2 linked regions of the Drosophila melanogaster genome follow. The gene in region 2 interacts genetically with the main gene of each other region. Each region holds a gene or a part of one and is shown on either strand. Other genes may lie near its edges. The genes, in order: plum and myo.

What was found.
Region 1: of myo (region 2) and plum, changing one suppresses a phenotype caused by changing the other (phenotypic suppression), as found in Drosophila melanogaster (one study listed by BioGRID).

What each region holds. Positions count from the first base shown.
Region 1 is NT_033777.3:26,530,849-26,536,936, forward strand, and holds the start of plum (plum), read right to left. Parts: upstream 4,370-6,088; 5' UTR 3,876-4,369; intron 1,575-3,875; 5' UTR 1,377-1,574; coding exon 1,265-1,376; intron 1-1,264.
Region 2 is NC_004353.4:689,413-698,639, forward strand, and holds myo (myoglianin), read right to left. Parts: upstream 6,644-9,227; 5' UTR 6,285-6,643; exon of another isoform or gene 5,926-6,284; 5' UTR 5,802-5,925; intron 5,005-5,801; 5' UTR 4,978-5,004; coding exon 3,969-4,977; intron 3,432-3,968; coding exon 3,013-3,431; intron 2,948-3,012; coding exon 2,579-2,947; 3' UTR 1,274-2,578; downstream 1-1,273.

The sequences.
Region 1 (6,088 bases), on a different chromosome or scaffold from region 2:
CTGACAATTTTTCTCAATATAAATTCGATAACGATAACGAATTTGTATTTACTTAAAAGCACAATTAATCTGTCCTGTCTAACGAATTTAATTGATTTAAATGGTTGCATTGAAGCTTCCGATATTGAGTAAAGCAAAAATCACTTTAGAGAAATTTAAATATCTGACGAAAGATGGCTGTGAAACTTTGTTGATGGTTGGCACACATGACTCGGTTCGGCCAACATCAAAAGAAAAACTTGAATTTTTCTATTTGAATTTGAGGCTGTTTGAAATGCCTACATTAAAAACGTGGGAATGCTGCAGATGACTGACGCTTGGGGGTGGTTACAAAACAGCCTATAGAAACAGAAACACAGGTGCCTCCAGAACTTGTCATCTAATTGGCCAGCTTGAAACACAAACCTCCGACCAAAAGATAGACGTCATGCCTTTGACTTGTTCACTTACAATGAATTAGAATTATAACCTCGCTTAGCCAAATCAACGACGCAATAACCTCGCAATAGCCGGCGTACATGCAAAGGGGGACCATTCCGAAATCCTGGGGGTAAGCGCAGGGGTGTAAGCCCCCAAAAGCAACCCCCAAAAGGCGCAGGCTAGATGTCGAATATAAAACATTCATAAAAGCAGCGGCAAGGGGTAGTTATCCAGCCTGACGCCACAATCCTCAGCGGAATCGTGCCGCGGAAGACCGAAAAACTTTTCTCGCGTGTTTTACCAACTTTAATATTTCATGTTGCTGATTTTCTTTATGGGATTTGGCCGTGGAAATCCCGGGGACAAACACCCGAACGAAGGAGCCCACACCTCACCAATCCCAACCCCTTTCAAACTCAACAAGTTTTTTTTTCTCCACGCTCCACGCTGAGAGACTTGAAAGACCTTTCGAGTGGAATGCGGACACGCCTGCCATGTTACGCCATTAGTTTATGATTATTGCCTGGAGTTTTGTGGGTCCCCAGCGGAGTTCCAACTGGCACTTTGAATCAGTGTTGTCAACTATTTTAAAACTAAATTTAGCCAAATTTGCCAAGTTCAAAAACTAGCAGCTGCTTTGGTAGATTGCTTTAAGAGTACTGGAAAAACATAACTATTTTACCTTATAATAAAAATACCTTAGTTTAAAAATTGACTTGTAACAACTGGGATTATATTATTATAAATCTACTGAAAACACTCAAATTTGGTCGGAATAACTGCCGAGTTGGCATCACAACTGCGAATTTAGAGTGTGAAATATGGCAAAGGTAACCGCACTCACCTGTTGTCGACTCCTTGGTTAGTGTCAGTCGTCCATTGTGGTCGGTTAGCAGCAGCAGTAGGATCTCAATCAATTGAATCACAAAGAGGCGACGATTGTAAAACAAACACATTGCAATCCGACTTTTTTGTTGTCACCGCTTTCCGGCTGGGGCTCCTTTTTTAGGCCCAACCGCGATTGTAATTATAACTATATAGATTTTTTTTTATCTTTTTGCGATTATTGGAACGTTAGCGAGCTCTTCACGCTCTTCCAGTCAATACGATTAGCAAGAGCATTTTCTCATTTCTCTGTTCACCGCGATGTTTGGCTTCGGAAATAAATGAAAATCGGGGGAGAAATCAAATCACCGAATTTTATTCACTAATCTAATGCACACACCCATGCACACAAACACACACACACGCCCACGCACACAAAAGTATGCTAATACATTTGGGCACAGGCATAAATATTTTACGCGTGCAACAGTGCGTATACTCAATTTGTTAAATAGTCCGCACAAACATGCCGCCAACACGATGGCCCGGCGCCAATGTCATCAGTTTGTCACCGCTCAAATCGGAAAATTGATGAGGTGGTGGGGCATTAACCCGTGGCTTGGGGTGGAAAACAATCCCAAGGGACAGTGAAAATACATACCAAGATTGGAAAAAGCCATATTCAAAATTAACAAATTTTCATTTCTTGTTCATCTTTTGTTCGCGTCGCTTTTTTATCAAATTAAAAGAAGCTCTGTATGAGAAACTAAAAGTTTCAAGTTATTATTAATATTACTGATTTACTTGATTACACTTTTAAAGCATAAAGTTTTGAGAAAGTTTTTCCAAAAGCCAACCGAAGTTTTTTCCCCTTGGTTTCTATTGTTTTACGAACTGCAATTATTTCCGTTCTAAACTTTTTTTGTTCGCCAGTTAGATATTATATTCTGTTATTACACCAAGAACTATAAGTTCTTAGCAATGAGTATAGAATTGCATTGAAAATTACCTTTTTTAACATAGATATTTCTGCTGCTATCAGTTAGCATAATAATATCAGCATTAACAAAGGTATCCTTCATCCTGCGTTTTTCCCCTCTATCCTTTCTTTTTACTTCCTCTGACATCCTTTTATCGGCCCTAAATTTGTACTGGCTTTTTGTGTGTGCTCGGATTTAAGCTGCGATAAATTCGCAGATTCTACGGCTCAGATTCTTCATCTGCCATTACGCACGCATCTCCATAATAATGATAGTAGTCATAATAATAATAATAATGATGATGATGGCGGTGATGATGCCACATAAAAGGCGGCGGAGCCCATTTCAATTTCAATTCGACAAAAGGCGCGTGTATCTGCAAGATACATTTCTATCTCAAGAGCGCAAAATTGCGCGGCAAACCAAAGCTCGCAAAAAGCAAAAAATCGCATATATGAATGCTAAAATATATTTCTGGCTTACTATTATATTGTTGATGCCTTTGCTGTTCGAACTATGAAAGGCTTTGCAAAAAGTAACGCACATCGCAGACAAACTTTTATCCGTACGACAATTGAAAAAAAACAATTCGATAAATCAAAAGAAAAATGAAAAAAAACGCTTGTGCGAATTTGAGCTACGGTTTTTTGTTTTGAATACACAGAAAGTAATTGGATTGCGTTTAAATTTGTAATAGCATTTAGATTTCTAATTGAATTTTATTAAAAATTCGTTTGTTTTATTAACCAAGCAAGCAAATTAAACGAATAAAATAAAAAATGCTTCTGGTTGAAAAAATATTGGAAATACTAGCTTATTTCTTCTGTGCATTGTGGCGTTCATTTGTTTACAGCCCTGCGATATAAAACTTTGTCTCGTTTACATCTTTTTCGAAATATATTGTATAATATTCGGTTTTGGTTTAAGATAAAACCCAAAACTGGAAGATGAGCAAAAAGCCGGCTGAGCAAAGGAAATCACATTGGGGTAGTTGTTGTTATATAAAACAAATTGTACGCGAATTTTTGCACAAAAACACACAGATACACGACACACACACACAAAGAGCCGCAAAATCCGGCGCTCAGGAAAACAGAGAGCGAAAGAGCGGATGAAGAGGACGAAGGGGAGGAAGATGAGGAAACAAACGAATTTCAGCAACGACGCAAATTTCGATTTCCTCGAAATTTCTACCTTCTATTATGCTCGTTCCTCTCCCGACTGCTGCTTCTTCTTGCGCTTCTTGTTTGGGCATCATATACTTTTTTGTTTGCAAAAATAAAAAATAAGGAGAAGAAAACAGTGAAGAAGAAGCAACAGCAGCGGCGGCAGCAGCAGCGCAGCTTACTAAGCTTTTGAGATGCCGCCGTTTTGCTCCTTGTTTTTTGTTTTTGCTACGCTCTTGCTGCTTTGCCTTTGCTTTTTCGGGTATTTTGCCTTTGGGTTTTTTTGCTTTTTTGCGTTTTTGCCTTTTGCGTGAACAAGAAGCAGCAGCAACTACTGTACTTGGAGTTTTTCCTTTGCTACATACATTCGTATATCCTTTTTGCCGCTTTGTTTGTTTGGAATTTCTCAATTTTCAAATACTGATGCCACCCACACGCACACACACAAACGTACACGCACTCCCACTCGCACACATACACGCACTTTACGCTTTTTTGTGCTTTGCTGCGTCTCCAGTTTCTTGTTATTTCGCCCTTTGTTGTATTATGTCATAATTTATTTGTCGCCCAGGACTAAACAATGCCGGAATTTTGCACAATTGATAAAGCCAATGAATCACATTTCGTTTTCATTAGCCCCCACTCGTGCTGTCTTGCTCTTTCTGGCTGCACCGGCTCCTCTCTTTTACTTTTTACTTTTTACTTTTCTGCTACCTTTGTTGTCTTTTTTGCATTTCCGCTTTACGTTTGTGTTTCGCTCGCACTCACGCACTCAAACACACGCAAACACAGACGCACACATAGCTGCAATTACTGTTGTTGCCCAGCTTGTTTAACTTTTGTTTGTTGTTTGAAACACACACAAGCACGCAGCGTCGTCGAAAATATCGCGAATTTACAAGCGCCGGCAAAAATTTACTAGAGAAATCCGCCCGCAATTACACAGAGCGACGCAGCAAACACGTCCAAACTGTTCGCCGAGCTTTGGCGCACTGCTTAACTTATGCTTATGAATGGAACGGCGGCGACAAGCAGCCCGTTCGGCGAAAGAACGAGAAAGCGATAGTGATACTCCCCCAATTTCTCTTTCTCCTCGGCGCTATGTTAACCGATTCGGGAAAGGCGCCGATTTGAATGTAATACGATTGCGATCAGATGGAAAATTCGCATCTGTTTTAAAACGTAAAAGATAAAAACTACCAGCTTCTACTTCTTCTTTACGATGTTGTCTTGCATTGCAAAAATCGAACTCCACAGCTTTAATCATTTAGGCTTCACTTAAACTTAGCACTAAAAATAATGCTCAATATCTTCTTAAACACCAAATAGACATGAAGGAATATCAAATACACATTCCTATGACAAAAAAAAATGTTAAACAATTTCAGCTCTTTTTAACATCAAGATACAAAGAACAAAACCTTTGGGTTTAAATCGGTTAACATTGCTTAACATTAAGCGGTTGTAAGAGAGCAGCAACTTAAGAGAATTTGTACACTCTTTTATCTTGCTCAATTTGAGCTTTGAAGAGAGCCGGCAACTTTTGTTTTTGTTTGCGACGCCAAAATTTCAATGTCGACGTCGCAGTCGGCAGCGTAAGCTTTTCGAGCAGCGAAAAACAAACAAAACGGAATGCGAGTAAAGCAAAAAAGAGACACAAAAAAAATGCAGTTTGTTGAATCTAGTACTAAGATTTAAATTTATTACAGACAAACGTAACTTTTATTTTGCACTAGAAAAATATTACATATTATATTATTATCTTGTGTTATATTATATTATAATTACTTACCGAACACCAAGTACTTTACAGTATTCAAGTTATTTTCCTTTTTTAACGTAATTAATGAAAATATTCATTATCTTTTAATCTTAATTTAAAATATTAACTTAAACTTCATCTCAAATAGGAAGGCGCCGATTAAAAATCGGAAATAGAGATGGCAAATAAAACGAATGGTTGTTGTCTTTACTAAAGGTGAGTTGCGCAGTTGCTAGTAGTGTGACCAGACGGCGATTCACAAAATTTCTCCAAAGTGTGAACGTATGCGAAGATACTTCGTTGATGGAAGAGGAGTGTCACCTTTTTCTTGGTTTTTCCAGAGCGTCATACTGCAAAGAGTTGTTGTTGCGCGCGGGCGGACGACGAGAAAAAATTGTAAACGCGGATGAAAACAACGGTTGATTTTCACCCAACGCTCGTGATTTTCGACCGCTTTTGAGTGTGGAAGCGAAAAAACCGCCTGTTTTTTAACTGCATGAGTGCGTGCGAGTGTGTGTGTGTGCGTGCGTGTACGTGTTCGTAATTTAGACGTGCTGCTCGCTGCGATTTTCGTTGTTCTGTGTGGCCCCTGTAACTACAGTAAATACTCGTGCAAATAACGCGTCAAAGCGTGCGAAAAACGCAGGGAGAACGCCAGCTAGCGCCTTCTCTTTCACTTTTTCGCTGATTCCTCGCCGCCTTAGACTAGCATTTTGTTGTTGCGCAGCCTGCGCGTATATGTGTGCGTTCGTCCGTGTGTGTGCGCTTGTCCTGCGTGTGCGTGTGTGTGTAAATTCCAAAACATACGCCGCTGCACAGTGGCACAAAAACGAGAGAAACGTAACGTAACGAAATAGCTATTTGGATTCCCGGCTTTCGGGCTTTCCCTGTGTGCGTGTGTCCGTTTGGGTGTGTCGCATTAATGTTAATTTTCC
Region 2 (9,227 bases):
AAAAATATATTGTGCATTTATACATACATACTATATAATTATATATACGCATTGCTTAGCCCTAAATAATATTCTTCGTAAGATAGCATAGTGTTGTAAGGTATTTAATGCGTTCTCATTCATATGACAAAGAATAAGTATATCTAAATAAAATAAATAGAACATATTAATCTGTAAAATTCCATTACTTACGTTTTTTTTAAATAAAACGGTATCTATGGTGCTTATAACAAACTTGAACCATAATTATTGTTTGATGAAAAAAGCTCCCATATAACATTGAAAATAAATTCATGGAAAATTAATGATAGAAAATATGGATACCCCAACAGTCGAGTTCAGATTAAATTACGGACTTCGGCAATTGAGACATTTTTATTTCTGAAAAATTATAAAATATAATATCTTCACAATTGCAATTTATAGTCAATATTTTAAATGTTTTTACCTGAAAATGTTGCTTACATATTTTGTTACAAATTAAATTTCATTTTATCTTTTATTTTAGAATAGCGCAAAAAATTGTGCAACAATAAAATGTTAATTCCAATAAAGACGTAAAGAATGTCTATTTAATTTATTTTTACCAAGTTTAACATCTTGGTGGCATATTTAATTCGACCGTTTGGTTCTGCAATAAATTCTATTGTGCTACGCTCAAATAAAAGATTGAATAGTCTTCAAAAAATATAATTTGTAATACGTACAAACAAAAAGAGTAGTAAATATTTTTGTACACAGTTTGTAAGGACTTGCATTTAACTTATAATTGGCGGCTAATACATTTACAACGAATGTTTTACTAATTCAAACGAGGTATCACTTCAATTGGGAAACAAAAACAAATAATTTATGCAAAACAACAATAAGAATTAATATAGATGTAAAATATAAATACGTTCACCTAATTTAAAATTTATAATTATAAGTATAATACAAAAGTAATTAAAAGAGAAGTAAGCGCCCAATAACAAACATTAAACAACAAAAAACAAAATATTAACAATATGAAAATATCCGTATTGTGTTCGACAAAAAGTAATATATCTTAAAGTACATTTCATATATCGACTTAGATCGGCATTCCCATTTTACTGATTAGTATTCACATTAAAGGGCCAACTTAAGAACCGAGAGCCCTAAATTTATATGAGAAATATTTATGGAAATATAAGTATATCAACTTATATACTAATGTATCACTAAATGGTTATATAATAAATTTTTCGGAAATAAATAAATTGGTTGGCTTATTAGTAAAAGGGGGGGGGGGGGGGGGTTGACATTATGAGTTTATACCGAAAGCTTAGGTATATCGAAACCCATATTCTATTAAAAAAAAAAAAACAAGAGAACGCTTTAGACGTGTAATCCAGATAAGATCGTATGACTCCTTGGCGATGGTACTCCTTAGCGAGCCTAAGTTTTTGGCAAAATGCCGTAATTTTTTTCAAGAGTTTTTATCTTCACCCACTCTATATTCGGAATGTCACACAATCATCTCACGACTATCCCCTTTAAGTGCTTACCTATCATCAGCTAATGTTGGAGCACTTGTCAAAATTATTATTATTGACAACTCCTAAGTACTCTTGCAAACGTTTAGAAGCCAATCCTGCGACAAGTAGTGTTAATAGAAGATTCGAAAATAACGCATAAGAAAAATAAGTTCTTTTTGGCACTCAACCAAGCATTCGAGCTTATATCGTAGGAACTAATCGGAATAAGTTTCAAAACTAACCAATTCTAGCATATTTTTTTTTAACACTATGTAGATGGAGATAGAGAAAGTGAGCGCTGTAACGCCACTGCGCTGCATTGCTACTTGTATATCTATATTTCTCTGGCACGTTATTTAACTTTTAATTATTATGAAATAAGTTCTGTGTGCTTTGCGAAACGTAAGGTTAGCCTTTGTTCTAATCAACATTATTCATACAAATCCTTACTTGTCTTGAAAAGAACAGCATATGGAAGTCTCGTTTGCACACGCACAAAGCCGTTCACTGTAAAATATTCTATATGCTCACGATGCACGGGATATGAACACCTTTATACATTTAGCTGTGTATTCAAATTAGGTAATCACACAACCGTAAATGATCCACATGTAGCCTCCGTTCAGACTATATTTGTCTGACGGTGCCATTTGTTATTCACTCAATTTTTATCAAAACTTAAGGTACTTAGTTTATTTTAACCGTGTATTTCTTTATGCGTCATACAATCATTTTATTTAAAACGATTATTTTTTGTTTGCTTTTCATTTGTAATTCGTAATGCACAGTTTAAAATATATTGTTTCGCTCTATACTTATCTTATACGGTAATGTAGGAATTCATTTTTAAATATTTTTTAATTTTTTACTGTTTTTAATTGCGATCTATTTATTAATTTGGGAATCATCAGCATGCAATCTGACCTATTTTACATTTTAAAAATGTAAATTTTATATCAAATTTGGGAATTGTACTTTAAACTAGCCTTCTCAAACAGATCCATATTCCTTTGCGTTAATTTATTTACATAGCATATGTATTAGTTCTATTTTCAAAGAACACTTTCGAATTTTGTTCGCTAAGAACAGCTGCAACCCTCGACAGACATATTTGGTATAACACTTAAAACCAGATTATGGTTATCGTCAAAATATAACAAACTTAAGGAACTCATTTTTGTCGGCGAGCAACACGGTGTGGCCGATGTCGTTAAGGCTGCTAAATGTGTATGGGGATATTGCTCTAGGTAACCAACTTTGCAGTCACCACTGCAGAAGTATGCGTCAAAGGACGTTGGTGCTACAACGAAATGCCATCCAAAGCTGGTGAAATTAACTTTGAGGGGATATCGACAACAGCGCATGTCATGATCATTTTCTGTGCAGTCCATATATACGCTGCGCTTTCTTCGATGCTTTTTTTGCGACCCAATTTCTATGTGAACAGTCTGAAATATTAAAAATATATTTAGTAGAGTAAGTGTATTCAACTTCATTATAAATGGCTTCTAACCAATGGATTTTTCGATGTGTTGTCTGTGGTCACCACTAATGACTTCATCCAGGTTTCTGCGCCCTTTATTAGAATTTCTTGCGTCATATTAGACCCAAGATTACCAAGCAGAGACTTTAAGTCCACAGCAACCCATTGTCCAAGTCCTGACGGAATACTATGTCGAAACTCAAACATTTTGACTTTAGGATTAAAGCTTGTTGTATTTGCAACCCTAATAGCGCGGTGAATAGTCACAACAATATCTTTACGTGGCTGTTTTTTAATTTCTTCAAGAAGTCCAGGTTGATGAGCACTTATCCAATCCCAACCACGTAAATATAGATGAAGGGTAGCGTAAGACAAGTCTGAGTAGCTACTGTCAATTTGAAACCGAAAAACATCGACCTTGCGATTGTGCCGAACATGAGGTTGAATTTCTAAAAGAACGAAAATATAAACGAAAATTATTAATTTTTTCATTGAAATTTGATTTCTTAAAAGCAAAAATTGGGTATTGATTAATGTTTGTTGTAAACAGTTCATTTTTTGTATGTTAAAGGGGTCAATGCCACTTGTCTTTTACCTCGTCAAGATTTTAGGAAATGTGTCGATTCTTTTTTGAAAATACACTACGCCAATGAATTTTGGGAAAACAATTTCTAAAGATAGAGAAGAAGTCATATGTATTTTTGCTTGCTTTCTCTTATTAAAGGAAAAAAGTTCGAAATCTAAACCTATAACCAAATCGGGCCCAAAAAAGATATAAATATAAGATAAATGATTATGCTTCTTACTTACAAAAAGTCTAGAAATATATTTACACAGATTTTAGTGACGTTATATATGCTTTTTACTTCTCTTAAGCTCTCCTTGTCTTTTCCTCCCTTTATCTATACCTACTCTTATATATAATATCTTCTCTTATTCAATATCTTCCTATATCTATATCTACTTTAAGAATGCTGTTTACTTACCCTCGGGAAATATGTATATACTGCTGATGTGAGACAAAATACTCTCGTACTCCTCATCGTTGGTATTAATAGGAATGTCCGACTTTTTAGCTTGATTTTTATTCAAATCTATCAGAAATTCATTAACAGTGTTAGCATCATCTCCCTGCATTTGGGAGGATGAACTTTCATCAAAAAAATCAGTCATTATGTGGTCGCCATAAGTGTCATTTATAGACAAATGAGATTCGTCAATGCTTTCCATGCGATTCCAAACAGTAGTTTTTGAAGATGCATTATAATCTCTATAAAAGTTATCTATTATATTTTGTGGTACTGAAATTGGTTTTGTTATATTGGGAAGTTTTTTTAAATTCAAGCGCATAAGTATGTGCATTTTAATCGATTCTATACTATCCACTTTGGCTTTCTCACGCAACTGACGCTGTAGCATACTTTCTATATTTATTAAGGTATTGCGATACAAAGATACACTTTGAACTCTTGATAAATCTCCATGCTCTGATACCTTTGCTAAAGGGGTACTTTTTTTCCCCGGTTTACTTTGTACTTTCATTTGGAATATTCCCATATTTTCATTTATTTTATCATCCGCCGATATTGAAGAAGAACCATTTTTTTCTGATAGTACTTTTGCACTATTGTTTGTTTCGTTACTCAACATAACCATTTCCGGACTATCGTTGTTGGAAGAATTACTGAAGCTTTTATTTTCTGGCTGAGCATAAGCATTGACTGCAGTCGATAAAATTAAGAGTACGGTGACCGTGACATATCGAGTTACACGGAAATTACCTCTCTTATGTCCAAGAATATTCATTCGCCCGATATTTATTTTTTTTGAGTCAAGATTAAATCTGTAAGAACCTGGAAACTGGATTTCGTTGGAGTTCACTTCTATGTGAACTGTTGTATCTGATGTGTTCTGTCGAGTTTTTTTCTTTAGGGTTCTATGATGCTGATCATGGGTTTTATATTTTCTCCAACCGCAGCATGAGTTGGCCAGCATGATTTTTGATCAAACCGTTGATGAATGCTGAAAAGGACTTGTATTTATAAATATACTTGATATATTTTAAAATAAGAAAAAATAAAAATAATAATTATTATTTATTTTTGGAGACAGCGGCTGGTGATCTTGTCATCCAATCAACTTGGCTCTTGTTGGCCTTATTTTACAATTTTTTTAAAAATCAAATCGCGAAATACAAGCTGTTAGATAATCCCCTGCTGTATTCGATTAAGTCGGATTCCCAAGGTAATACCTTAAACAGCTGTGCAGAGAAAAAAGAAGAGCGCACCCCTTTAAACCCTATTAAAGCATTAGCACGGAAGTCAATGATTCCCCTTCGCGAGTCAATACAAAAAAAAAAAAAAAAAAAAATTGAATAGCTTACGCCACTGACGATCTCTAACTTCAAAAATATTAAAATTATTGGCAAAATTTGGACAATATAATATTTCGGTTTTAAATTGATAGACTTTTGACGATCATATCATATAGCTAACTGTTGAAAAAAATTATAGACTCGTTGTTTTCAAATAAAAAGAGTTCTTCTTCAGTATGCACATTTTTTTGAAAATATATAATTTAGGTTTTTAATCGATCAAAATCAGACGACCATACACTTATATACCTGCCATAGGGAAAAATGGCTCTATGGCTATAAAGCTTAGGAAAAAACACTGACAATTGTAAAACCATTTTTCGTCACAAATCGGCACGGTGAGGCTGCGATCGTCACTTGATTTGTGTGCTCGTGAATATTCTAAAACTCGGAATAACGGAATAATAACCTTCAAAAACTTGTTTCAGGCTACGAAAAAACTTACTTTGAATATAGTAGAAGTATAAAATCCTGCAGCACCGGATATAATGATTTTTAAAAATTAAAAATCATATCTGCATTGTTTGATCCGCCTTGGAAGCGCGATGCGCCAGCAGAAAATGACCACCCTAATGTGCACACAGTCGTAAAAGTTAGTTCAAGCTACATATGTACATGCACATATGCAAAGCCCGTTCATAAACGTTTCACATGAGTCCTCTTTATGACCACTATTGTATTCAATTAAAACCATTTATAAACATAATAAATTATTGTGCTCTTGAACTTCAGTTCATCGCTGAAAGTGCATTATTCCCCTTTTACAAGCAGAACAACGTAAATGAGATATATCATATGTATGTACATACGTAAATTATACATACATACAGAATAAATAGCATGCATATAAGCACATATGTACATTTTTAAAGCTGTGTATGTACAAAGTTATGTACATTTAGCGATAACAAACTTTTTAAACACCTACCAATTGTACATAAGTAGATATATACTTATCTATCGGTATTTATTTTATTTTTATACACTTGTACAACCAAAATCTATTTTGAAACTAGGCAATTGTGTGTTTTAATATATGTATAGTATATATTATTAAATGTTTTATATTGAAGTAACAGTGGGCCTACGGTTTCGAACATTATTCTTTTGCAATCCGCTTTTGTTAAATTTATTATTCATTGTCCAAAAACACATAGTTTGAAAAAATTGTGTATTCAATTGCGCACTAAATAATAATAATTTATTTCTCATAGAGAACCAATATTTGAAAACCCGCAGAGATTCTGTACTGCTGTGCGATTGAGCGACGAAGTAGAACTGAAAGCAGCTGATCAGATGCGATCGGATACATACGGCTCACCGGCAATTTCGTTTTAGTTGGCATAACAGGCCGCTTTTAAAAATGTATCTGCTGAAACGCATTGCAAGAGTAAACTTTAATTCATATTAACATTTTTATCGAGCAAAATAGCATTATATTAAAATGAAATATTTATTGAATATACTCCTACTTTTTTTTTTACAATTCTAGAAAACATTTTATTTATATTTCCACTGTCGCTAATAATCACTTTCTATTGTAAATCAATTTAATCCTTAAGCCGTTTTAACTCTTATAAGTTATGAGTGTAGACATTTTTACATTTCAAAGATTTCAAATAGACCCGAAGAAACTATATAAGATATATTTTTATTAGCAGGATTTGATTTGTCTCTATAATTTTGGTTCCCTAGTTGTTTTTTTTTATTACACAAAATTGAGTGCTATTATACAACAAAAATTACATGCGTATTAATTTGTACTACTGGAATGACTATATTGATACAAAGGAATTTTTAAAATTTAACCGAAGTTCCGCATTCTTGTCCTAACATTTCGTGTTTTAAATTAACGGCAAAAATGTCGTTACTCTGGAATTAATAAAAAGTACCCAACGCACTTACATAAGTATGCAAAAATAATTTTATGTGTATAAAAGAAACTTATATTAAATCAAGTACATATTCGTGCGGGTCCCCTTTGTTCCGCAGTCTTCTTATATAATTATTGCCCATTAATATGGTTGTGTAAGAAGGCAATCTGGGAACTCCATAAAAAGGGTAGGGACAATTACCGCGATGTCTAGTGTTTTCCAGATTAGCTGTCGATATATCGACGCCCGTACAGATGTTTAAGCCTTTCCACACATACATTTATGAGTTTCCTATCGATATGGAAGAAAACGATAGGTGTTCACACTGTACTAACTTATTTTTATTGCTTTGTATCAGCAATTCTGTTGTTTTACTTAAGAATAGCAATTCAAATGGAGAAGACTTCTTTTATGTATCAACAAAGTAACTGATAAGAGATTATTTATTGGATGGATTGTAAGCTACTTATTTTTTCCATTGTGGTTAACAATTTACGATTTTTTTTTGGTTATAATAAAGATTTAAATAAAATAATTTCAACAAGTGCGTCAATTTTCCTTCATCTACGCACATATAGATGGTAATCGTGCGATAAACCTAATATTACGAAAATGGCGATCACGCATTCAACCGATAAATACAGAACTAAAATACTTCCTGATCAAAAACAAGAATTTATAATTTTTTTTCTATTATTTCCACTACGTTGCAATTTTCTGACAGAAATCACTATACGCTCTGCAATGGTTTAACAATAGGAAACGCTTTAGTTGGCTTTCAAATATTTTTCACAACATTTTCAACGAGTAGATTAGTTGAACTATTAATAGCTCATTAATGGACCGATTCTTTAGGTCTGCTAAATTATCATTCTTATATCTGTGAATTTATTTATTTACTGCATCGAATTTTTGAAAATAACGTATTCTCTACGCAATCACTGGTATTGGGTTGCCATATCGATTTCTATATATGTTAAGAGTTGCCGTTTGTATTTTTACACGCCGAGAGTTGCCATCCTGATACGAGCAGATGCGTGCTGAAGTCCAATCGATACTACAAAATACCAAAATACACAGAAAATATAAACAATATTGCATAAACAATATTGTACGAACGTTCGTTTTAGTGTTTAATCACATACTGTTTTTCCCCCATCCGAAAATCGAAGAAAATGTGTGACAATCAATATCTAATAAAAGAATCAGGATACATGTGCGACCATTCGTAATATAAATATGTATGTATATTTTGTAAATATTATTCCCTACTAACTAAACCCATCTGTGTGAATTTTTCCCAAAAGCCCTCTTATTATTGCAGGTAGTACATATATTAGTCGAAATAATTATGATCCGAAAGTTTTTTAATAAGGCTTTTGACCGTAATTAATTTCGAATTGGTTTAACCAAAAAGTGACGACGGTCATTTAAAAGGTCAGAAATTTAATTTAAAATATTAGAAGAGAAACTCTAATATTTTTATTTTGTGTCATACATTGCACCCATTCGGAATATACCGTTTTTTTTTAAAATTATATGTAATGCCCTTTGGCTTGCCACTCACTCGGTGAGGCCATAAGATGTTCTCCGATCGCCACCGTGTTTAAGAGAGAAAGTTGCAGAATGAAGTCTTACAAGCACATTTCTAAAAAAGGGACAACGCTCTTAAAAGGAAATAGTTATATATACCGAGTAATGACATCTGTGATTAGTCTATGATTTATATTATAATATAGCTACGCAGATCGTAACTAACAGATACCCCTTACATTGCTGGTAGGAGTTTTTACTCCTACTCTCTTTTGAGAGATGGAGAAAAAATAAAAAGAAAAACACTCTTCGATATTGGTCGATAGCTTAAGCTGGTGGCGGTTAGATTAATTGCCATTGTAATTTGCGGGCGTTACTCATTTGGCACTCTTAAAATCAAAGTGGAAAGAAAGGTGGATAAGTAAAAAAGGGTGCGGAATGAGTACCGTTTATATAGTGTGTTT